Oryzias latipes: one gene and its partner. The protein of the gene in region 1 purifies or fractionates together with the protein of each later gene. This does not show direct contact. Links are inferred from orthologs where the notes say so. Each region holds a gene or a part of one and is shown in the gene's direction. Other genes may lie near its edges.

What was found.
Region 2: the proteins of lsm1 (region 1) and patl1 purify together in Homo sapiens (co-immunoprecipitation; 3 studies listed by BioGRID and IntAct, with this or other methods). This does not show direct contact. The link is inferred for Oryzias latipes from reciprocal best matches to the Homo sapiens genes LSM1 and PATL1.

Annotation. Positions count from the first base shown.
Region 1 is NC_019867.2:18,635,617-18,639,857, forward strand, and holds lsm1 (U6 snRNA-associated Sm-like protein LSm1), read left to right. Parts: upstream 1-1,368; 5' UTR 1,369-1,458; coding exon 1,459-1,504; intron 1,505-1,614; coding exon 1,615-1,683; intron 1,684-1,813; coding exon 1,814-1,929; intron 1,930-2,898; coding exon 2,899-3,069; 3' UTR 3,070-3,597; downstream 3,598-4,241. Other genes in the region: bag4 (BAG family molecular chaperone regulator 4), read right to left, coding at 1-110, 649-738. UniProt on the Homo sapiens protein: Plays a role in the degradation of histone mRNAs, the only eukaryotic mRNAs that are not polyadenylated. Probably also part of an LSm subunits-containing complex involved in the general process of mRNA degradation.
Region 2 is NC_019859.2:1,009,665-1,012,779, reverse strand, and holds the end of patl1 (protein PAT1 homolog 1), read left to right. Parts: coding exon 1-76; intron 77-141; coding exon 142-301; intron 302-669; coding exon 670-795; intron 796-1,546; coding exon 1,547-1,638; intron 1,639-1,708; coding exon 1,709-1,858; intron 1,859-2,200; coding exon 2,201-2,222; 3' UTR 2,223-2,470; downstream 2,471-3,115. UniProt on the Homo sapiens protein: RNA-binding protein involved in deadenylation-dependent decapping of mRNAs, leading to the degradation of mRNAs. Acts as a scaffold protein that connects deadenylation and decapping machinery.

The DNA of each region.
Region 1 (4,241 bases):
TACTGCGGATGCAGATCTGACGCTGAAGGATAGGCATTTGCGTAGGGCCCTGTGGAGTGGGACTGCGGATACCAGTATTGTGGAGGGTAACTTGGATACTGAGGAGCATCCTGTAAAAGGCAAGTTGACACGAGACAGCGACTCACTTTATGTGATCCAACCCATTTTGTGTAGCTATCCTAAATCTCAAATAGAGATATGGAGAACTTGATGCTGAGAAACTTAAATGATAAACGCATTGATAAACATATACTCGTGTCTTTCTAGAAAACTAAATAAATGGATGTTAACTTGTGTTTAAATGAATGAAATAATTTGAGCTAAACCAATGATTAACTCATGAAACTCTATATGATCGCTACGATCTCCTAACGTGCAGAAGTGTTGTGTTAAATCGATATTTTCGAGTCAATGTAATTTAAAAACAAGGACTTAACTAATAAGCTAGCAGTAACTATTACATAATGCCCGCTAGCTATATTAGCTATGAAGCTAGCATGATGAACATTGCGAAGAACTTCTGCACGAACGAACAAACGGATTTTATTGTTGGGAGATTTTAAATTAATCTTTGTTTCTTTAAAGCACAATATGATCTGTCACCCCCTCCCCCCAGTAAAGTTTTTTTTAATTAATCTGCTCGCTTACCATAGTGTTACTGCAGCTTCCGTGACTATTTCCCGAGTTAGTAGAGGGCCAGCCAGTTTTCCCGTTTGGCTGCATTTGGGGTTTCTGCATCAGTTACACGTATTTTGCCATCTTCCAAAATAAGCAAGACTATCACTAGTTTACGGTTCCGCTAGAAATCTGACAGCTGATCAAAGCAGCAGCTTCCCCGCAGAAGTCAGGATCGCCTGATTGCAACCAAGAAATGAATAAATGACGCGGAACTCTGGAGACATGGTACTGCGTCTTTAAGTCGAGTAGAACCATTACAAGTAAAGAGGAGTCACTCTCTAAAACTTTCTGATCGAAATTGCTGGATGAAACCTTACAATTGCAAAACGCAGAAACGGGGAACACAATTAGAATATTTTTAATTAAAGATATTTATTTTCAATATATTTTACTGCTAAGACCAACTATTGAATTACTCCTGTAGCAGTTGTATTTTTTAAACATGTGACGCAACTTTTCAAAATTTTCATTTACGATCTTTGATGTGGCACATGCGTTGGAAGGGTTACCATCCATCATCAAATGGGGACATTTAATCCAAACATGTTTTATAGAAAATTCTTTTTGTATCATAAAATGTATGATACTTTTGTTTAAATCATTTTTACACAGTTATTTTTAGAAAATTCGAGCTATGCGCAATTACGGTGCGGAAGGGGTTAAATGTTTACAGGAAGTGTATAAAAGCACTTCCTGTGCACCGTCAAATAGAAACGGGTAAAAACATTCATGGCTTGATGGTTCAGAAATCAACTAAACGCGTGAAAACTGCAACTAAACATGAATTACGTACCAGGGACGGCCAGTCTCATTGACGATATTGACAGTAAGTTGGGCCTTATAGAAATTGCTTTTTTTAATCATAAACAAACGACACAATGTATTAGCGTGTGCCGTGTGGACGCAGATTTTTTTTAAATGTTTTTAATTTCGCAGAAAAGCACTTGGTCCTGCTGCGAGATGGCAGAACACTAATCGGTTACCTGAGAAGCATCGATCAGTTTGGTAATAAAAAATGAGAATCTTCTAAACTCTTCCATGCGGGTTTATTTTTTTATTTTTATATGATTACGCGGTGTTTCAATAGTCCTAAATTTGTTTGTTTCTTTCTTTTTTTTTTTTTTTTGTTCCACAGCCAATTTAGTCTTTCATCAGACGGTGGAGCGTATCCACGTGGGAAAGAAATTTGGAGATATTCCCAGAGGTATCTTCATCGTCAGGGGAGAAAATGTAGTCCTGCTTGGGGAAATAGTAAGTGTTTTAGAGCAATTTTTTAGTTTGTTCTAAACTTGAATGTAATTTCTGGATCAAGTTTTATTTACGTGAACTTGTTCTCAGATGCTCCGTACAGCACCAAACATCAAACTCTGAATGTGGTCAAGCATCCAGGTCTCGCACTGCAGAAAATGATGTGACTCTTATTTAAAGATCAAGTTAAATTTATATGCAAGTAAATTGTTACTTTATATAGTTACTACAGTTATAAACTTTTTTTTTTGAAAAGTTGCTGCCTAAATGAATACTTGCTTAAAAAGGAAATTGCGCACACATTGACTGTAAAGGTACCTCCATGTTAAGGTTACTTAGCAAAAACAAAAAAGGCTTAATTTTACAACTTTTTCAAATTTGCTGTTTGGTCTAGCCAGATTTTTTATTTTTCTCTCCTGGTTTTCAATATGATATAAAAGAAAAGCGGGTGGGAAAAGTGGTGAGGATTGTCAATCTTTGCTCTTTCCATATAAATACAATGCATACTTCTTCTTACTTTTTTTTTTCTTAATTATAATTTAGATTACCAATGATTACACAAATGATTGCAGGATTGCTGCTAGTTTACCTCACAACCCCAACCTAACATGATGGTGGTAGAAATGAATACGGCAACAATATTAGAGCTATCCAGCCATAGTTTGGAGCCAGATCTCAGCTCCGATGAGGGAAACAAAGAGGCACATGCATCGTTTTGTCTACAATGGATGCATCAGAATAGAGTGGTGCAGGGAGCTTGTGGCTTACCATTCGAACTTGTGTCACACAAGTTTTTCGTGGGTCCTTGAACCACGGAGTTTAAGCATCTTTTTGGGCAAAACTATGAGCAGGCCATAGCATTGAGTACTAGCAACTTTTGTTAGTGTCATGGAATGATGCACAGAGCCTAAAAGAACTTGATGACATTTTCGGATCATAAGATTTGACCTCACTCTCCTGTGTCCTGTGCAGGATTTGGATAAGCCCTGCGACACAGTCTTGCAGCAGGTTTCAATTGAGGAGATCCTGGAGGAGCAGCGGTTGCAGCAGCAGGCCAAACAGGAAACGGAGAAAGTCAAAATGCAAGCTCTGAAGGACAGAGGCCTTTCCATACCCAAAGCTGATAATTTGGACGAGTATTGAACCCTTTACAAGCCTTTTAGTTTGTATAAGACAAATGGATTTTATGTTTAACTGAAGGGTGTCTTTTGTTTTGTGGCTAGAATCATGTAAGGCACAATACTGCATTGTTTTGTTTTGCTTTTTTTTCTTTTCTTAATAGTTTCATTTAAATTGTATGGGGATGTAAGAACTGTTTAAGCAAATGGTTACAACTTGACGGCCTTTTTACAGCAGCACTTTGTCATCAATCATCATAATGACGTGAACTTTTTATTTGGAGATGGTGGGTCTGCTAGTGACTAACACTCCTGTTCTCCATTAAAACAATTGAGTTTCACTTACTAAAGCCTGCTTGAAAAATCTTTTGTCTTTGAAGGTTTAATCTGCAAGTACACAGAAAGCGGTGCGTTTAGTCATTTAAGTATTTATTGGTGACTTGACTGGCTTCCTATTGGCTAATCAAAACGTTAATTCTGTTATAGGGATGATCTTTCAGATACTGATCAATTTCCCTCATTAGCTGCTAGAATAAAGTGACGTGTAAGAGAAGCTATGCGTTTTACAGTCATCTTTATATGTACCCCGTATACTTTTTTATTTTTTTTTATTTATTTTTTTCTTAACCTATAGCAGGGTTCTGCAACCTTCAGCACATAAAGAGCCATTTGGGTTGATGTCTCAATGACCACGCCCCAGTAGGAGTCAAAGTCTTTATTTTTTTATTTTTTTAAGACTAATTTGTCTTGGATACTAATATGATAAATATAGATGAACTGTTATTTGGCATAAATAAAAAAATATAAAGAGAAAATAGCTTTTTTTTTAAAATACCGGTAGTTTAAACTTTTGATGGAGGTTCATGTGACTTCCTCTCAATAAGTGTCCTGTTTCACATGGGATCCTCTCAATCCAGCAAATGTAGAAGTGTAATGTCAGCAGTGATTAAAAATAGATATTTTAGCATTTGAGGTGCATAACAGCCAACATTTGTAAATCAAATCAACAAAAAAAAATTAGAGCTAAGTGACCCTTGCCATATTTATTAGAACCATAAGGTGAACTTAAAAATCCTTCAATTTGTTAAATAGAAAACTCACCATCCATTACTCCTTTAGTAGGAATTCTGGCTGTGCTGACGGCTCTACAATTGAATTTCTGTGGTAAATGGCATTTTATTCAACTACAAAGCTGCA
Region 2 (3,115 bases), on another chromosome or scaffold:
CGGCCCTGTTGGAGCAGCACAAGACCAACACGGAGCAGCTGAGCGCCGCCCTGCGGGACAAGGACTGGGAGCACAGGTGTGTGGGGGAGGGGGCGTGGCTGCAGGGTGGGGGCGTGGCTGACACGTTACCCTCTCTTTCAGAGTGAGCGACGACCTGTGCGTGATGATCATGTCGGTGAGGAAAGGCAAGCGCCTCATGGGTAGGCTCCTCCCCTTCCTGCCTGCACCCCAGGCCGCTGCCGTCGTCATGGCGATCGCCCGCAACCTCCCCGTCTTGGCCAAGAAGGACAAGCAGGATCAGGTAACCCCCCCTTCAGATGTGCTCTCAAGACTTTTATTTTGTAAAAATGGGTGTCAAAGCTTTTATTTTCCTAAGCTAATTCTGAAGGACCCGAGGTGGACGGAGAATCTGAAGTTTGTGGGCGGAGTCTTTGGTTCAGCTTCTGAAAAGACAGAATAAAACCCTTTTTGATTGGCAGATGGGTGGGGCTGCCCCCCCCCCCACCTGCGGTTCTGTTTTTGACAGCCCCTCCCTCCCACACACACCCACTGCTTCAGTTAGCAGGGTTCGCTTTCACGCCGTCTTTCCATGGGGGTGGGGTGGGTCAGCGGCGTGCTGAAGCTCCTCCCCCTCCTGCTCTCTCAGCAGCTGTCTCCTCACCTGTGCAGGTGCTGTGCTGCCTGTTGGATCCGGTGTCGGCGGTGGTTCAGTCGCTGGCGAGCTCCGCCCTCACCGACCTGCTGCAGGAGCTGCAGGGGAGCGAGGGTCAGCTGACCACGGTGCTGCAGAACAAGGTGAGACAAACTGCGTGGAGGAGGCTCCGCCTTAAACTGCGTTCACGCCGAACGCCATTTTCGCGGCAGTGGCGGGCAGTTTCAATGTTAAGTCTATGACCTTTTCATTGACCCGATGGGCGGGTAAAATACATCCAATGGCGGCGATTTGTCCTGAACTTCCATCCGTTTCGTTAACCCGCCGTGTTGCTGGAGCCCGTCCGGCTTCTGTAGGGCGAAGGCGGGAAACGCCCCGGACAGGTCATCAGCCTGTCACGCCGCTGCGGGGTGGGTAGGCCGCCTGTCGGCCCTCATGATATTTTACTTATTTTGAAAGACAATAATTAAAAAATTCCCCTCATTTTATTCTTGTTTTCATCATTTATGAATATTTTTTATTTTAGTTTTTGTTCCTTTTTCATTTGTGATGAAATTGCCTTAAAATGTCTGATTTCTGCAGAAAGTAGGGCTGGGTTGATAAAATCAATTCATCTGAATAGATCCAAGGTGGATAGATCAATAATCGATCCATAAAAGTAGACATTGATCTTTTATGACTTTCTTTTTCCGGTACTGAACCCATCACAGCAGTAGAGAAGTCTGCTAGCTTGATGCTAACACATAATGGAATTTCCCATAGAACGGCTAATGCTAACGCTCCAAACAGGAAGGAAACCTTTTTAAAAGTAACCATTTCTGTTCTGGACACCAGCAGCTGAGCGTTTCCTCTCTGCCTGTGCGTGTGTGTGTGTGTGTGTGCGCACGTGTGCAGTTCGGCGTGACGCTGCTGTATCTGATCCTGAGCGAGGGCGAGCGGATGCAGAGCTCCGACCCCGTTTGTCAGCTGATGGACGACAATCGATGGTGAGCCGCTCTTCCTCACATCCTCTTCCTCTCCTTCCTGACTGACACACTCTTCCTCTTGACCCCCCAGGACTGAGTTGGTGTTCTCGGTGATGAGGGAGCTGCTCAGCGTCTCCTCTTCATCGCTCTCCCCTCCACTCTTCACCCCCCCCAACCTGCTGTCCCTCTTTTCAAGATATGTGGACCGGCAGAGGCTGGAGCTGCTGCAGGACAAGCTGCAGTGAGCGCGCTCACATGCACACGCACACACATGCACACGCATGCACACTCACATACGCAGACATGCACACTCACATACGCACGCACATGCATGTACTGTCATGTGCGCGCACACATGCGCATGTGCACACATACCTGCATGCACACATACCTGCACACACACACATGTGCACACCATTGCACACCTGAATGTGCGCACGGGTACAGACATAGACATAAACATGCACGCACACTCGTGCACACACATGCAGACCTACACAATACGTGCACACACATGCAGACATATACGTGCACACACGTGCACAGTCAGCCTAATGGTTTCTAAATCCGTTTTGTCTTCCAGAATCTCTGCCTCATCGAGGTAGAAGTGACTTCAACATCCACACGCCCCCCCCCCACCCAGCCCATGCAGAACGTGTGTGTGTTTGTGCGTCAGAGGAGCGAGTGTGTTTGTGTGTCGTTGAGCTTCATCTAGCAGACTTGTTTTACTGCAGCAGAATCTGGTTTGTTTAGTGTTTGAATCTGAATGGAGATCCAGATGGAATCTGCATTTTTAAATCTCTTGTTTACGATTATTCCTGTGACAAAATAAAAAGTATTTCTATTATATAGACACAGGTGTGCTCTGCTCTTCTTCTGCTCTTCTTCAGCTCCTGATTCGTCCGTCCGGTGTGGACGGACGATACCAGTGATCCAGTTCTTCATGAGGTTTCAGATCCAAACATGACTCAGCAGCTTTAGACTCACCTGGTCTCACCTGTGATGGGTTTTCGGTCAGCTACAGGAACACGTCCACTTGGGACACATAAATCCTCCTCCTAGTCCAGTAACTCGTAACCATCGGGCTGCGGCTCAGTGGCCCAGTGGCCCAGTGGCCCAGTGGCCCAGTCCTGGTCCGTGTGCGTGTAGGAGTGAACCGCAATAGTCAAGTCTGCCTGAATTTGTGGCCGCGGGGCGTCATTGCAGCCTCCCACCACTTGGGGGCAGCGATGCGTGTTGTAGCACGTGCCCAAAGAGTTTTGCACGTGCCAACAGAAAGTGCCATAGAAAGTTCTATCATATTTTATTAATTGCATTGCAGACTGTGTTATTAACCTGTAGAGATTGAGCTGCATACGTTAAACAGAGATCCCTTCTGCTTTCGTAAGCAGAACTCTGCCCTTCAAAGACAAATCTCTTTGCAGCCATTGGTTTAGGGTTTTTTGGGTTTTATCTATTAAAGGAGAGAAATTTGTAGAACATCTGGATTGCATATCTT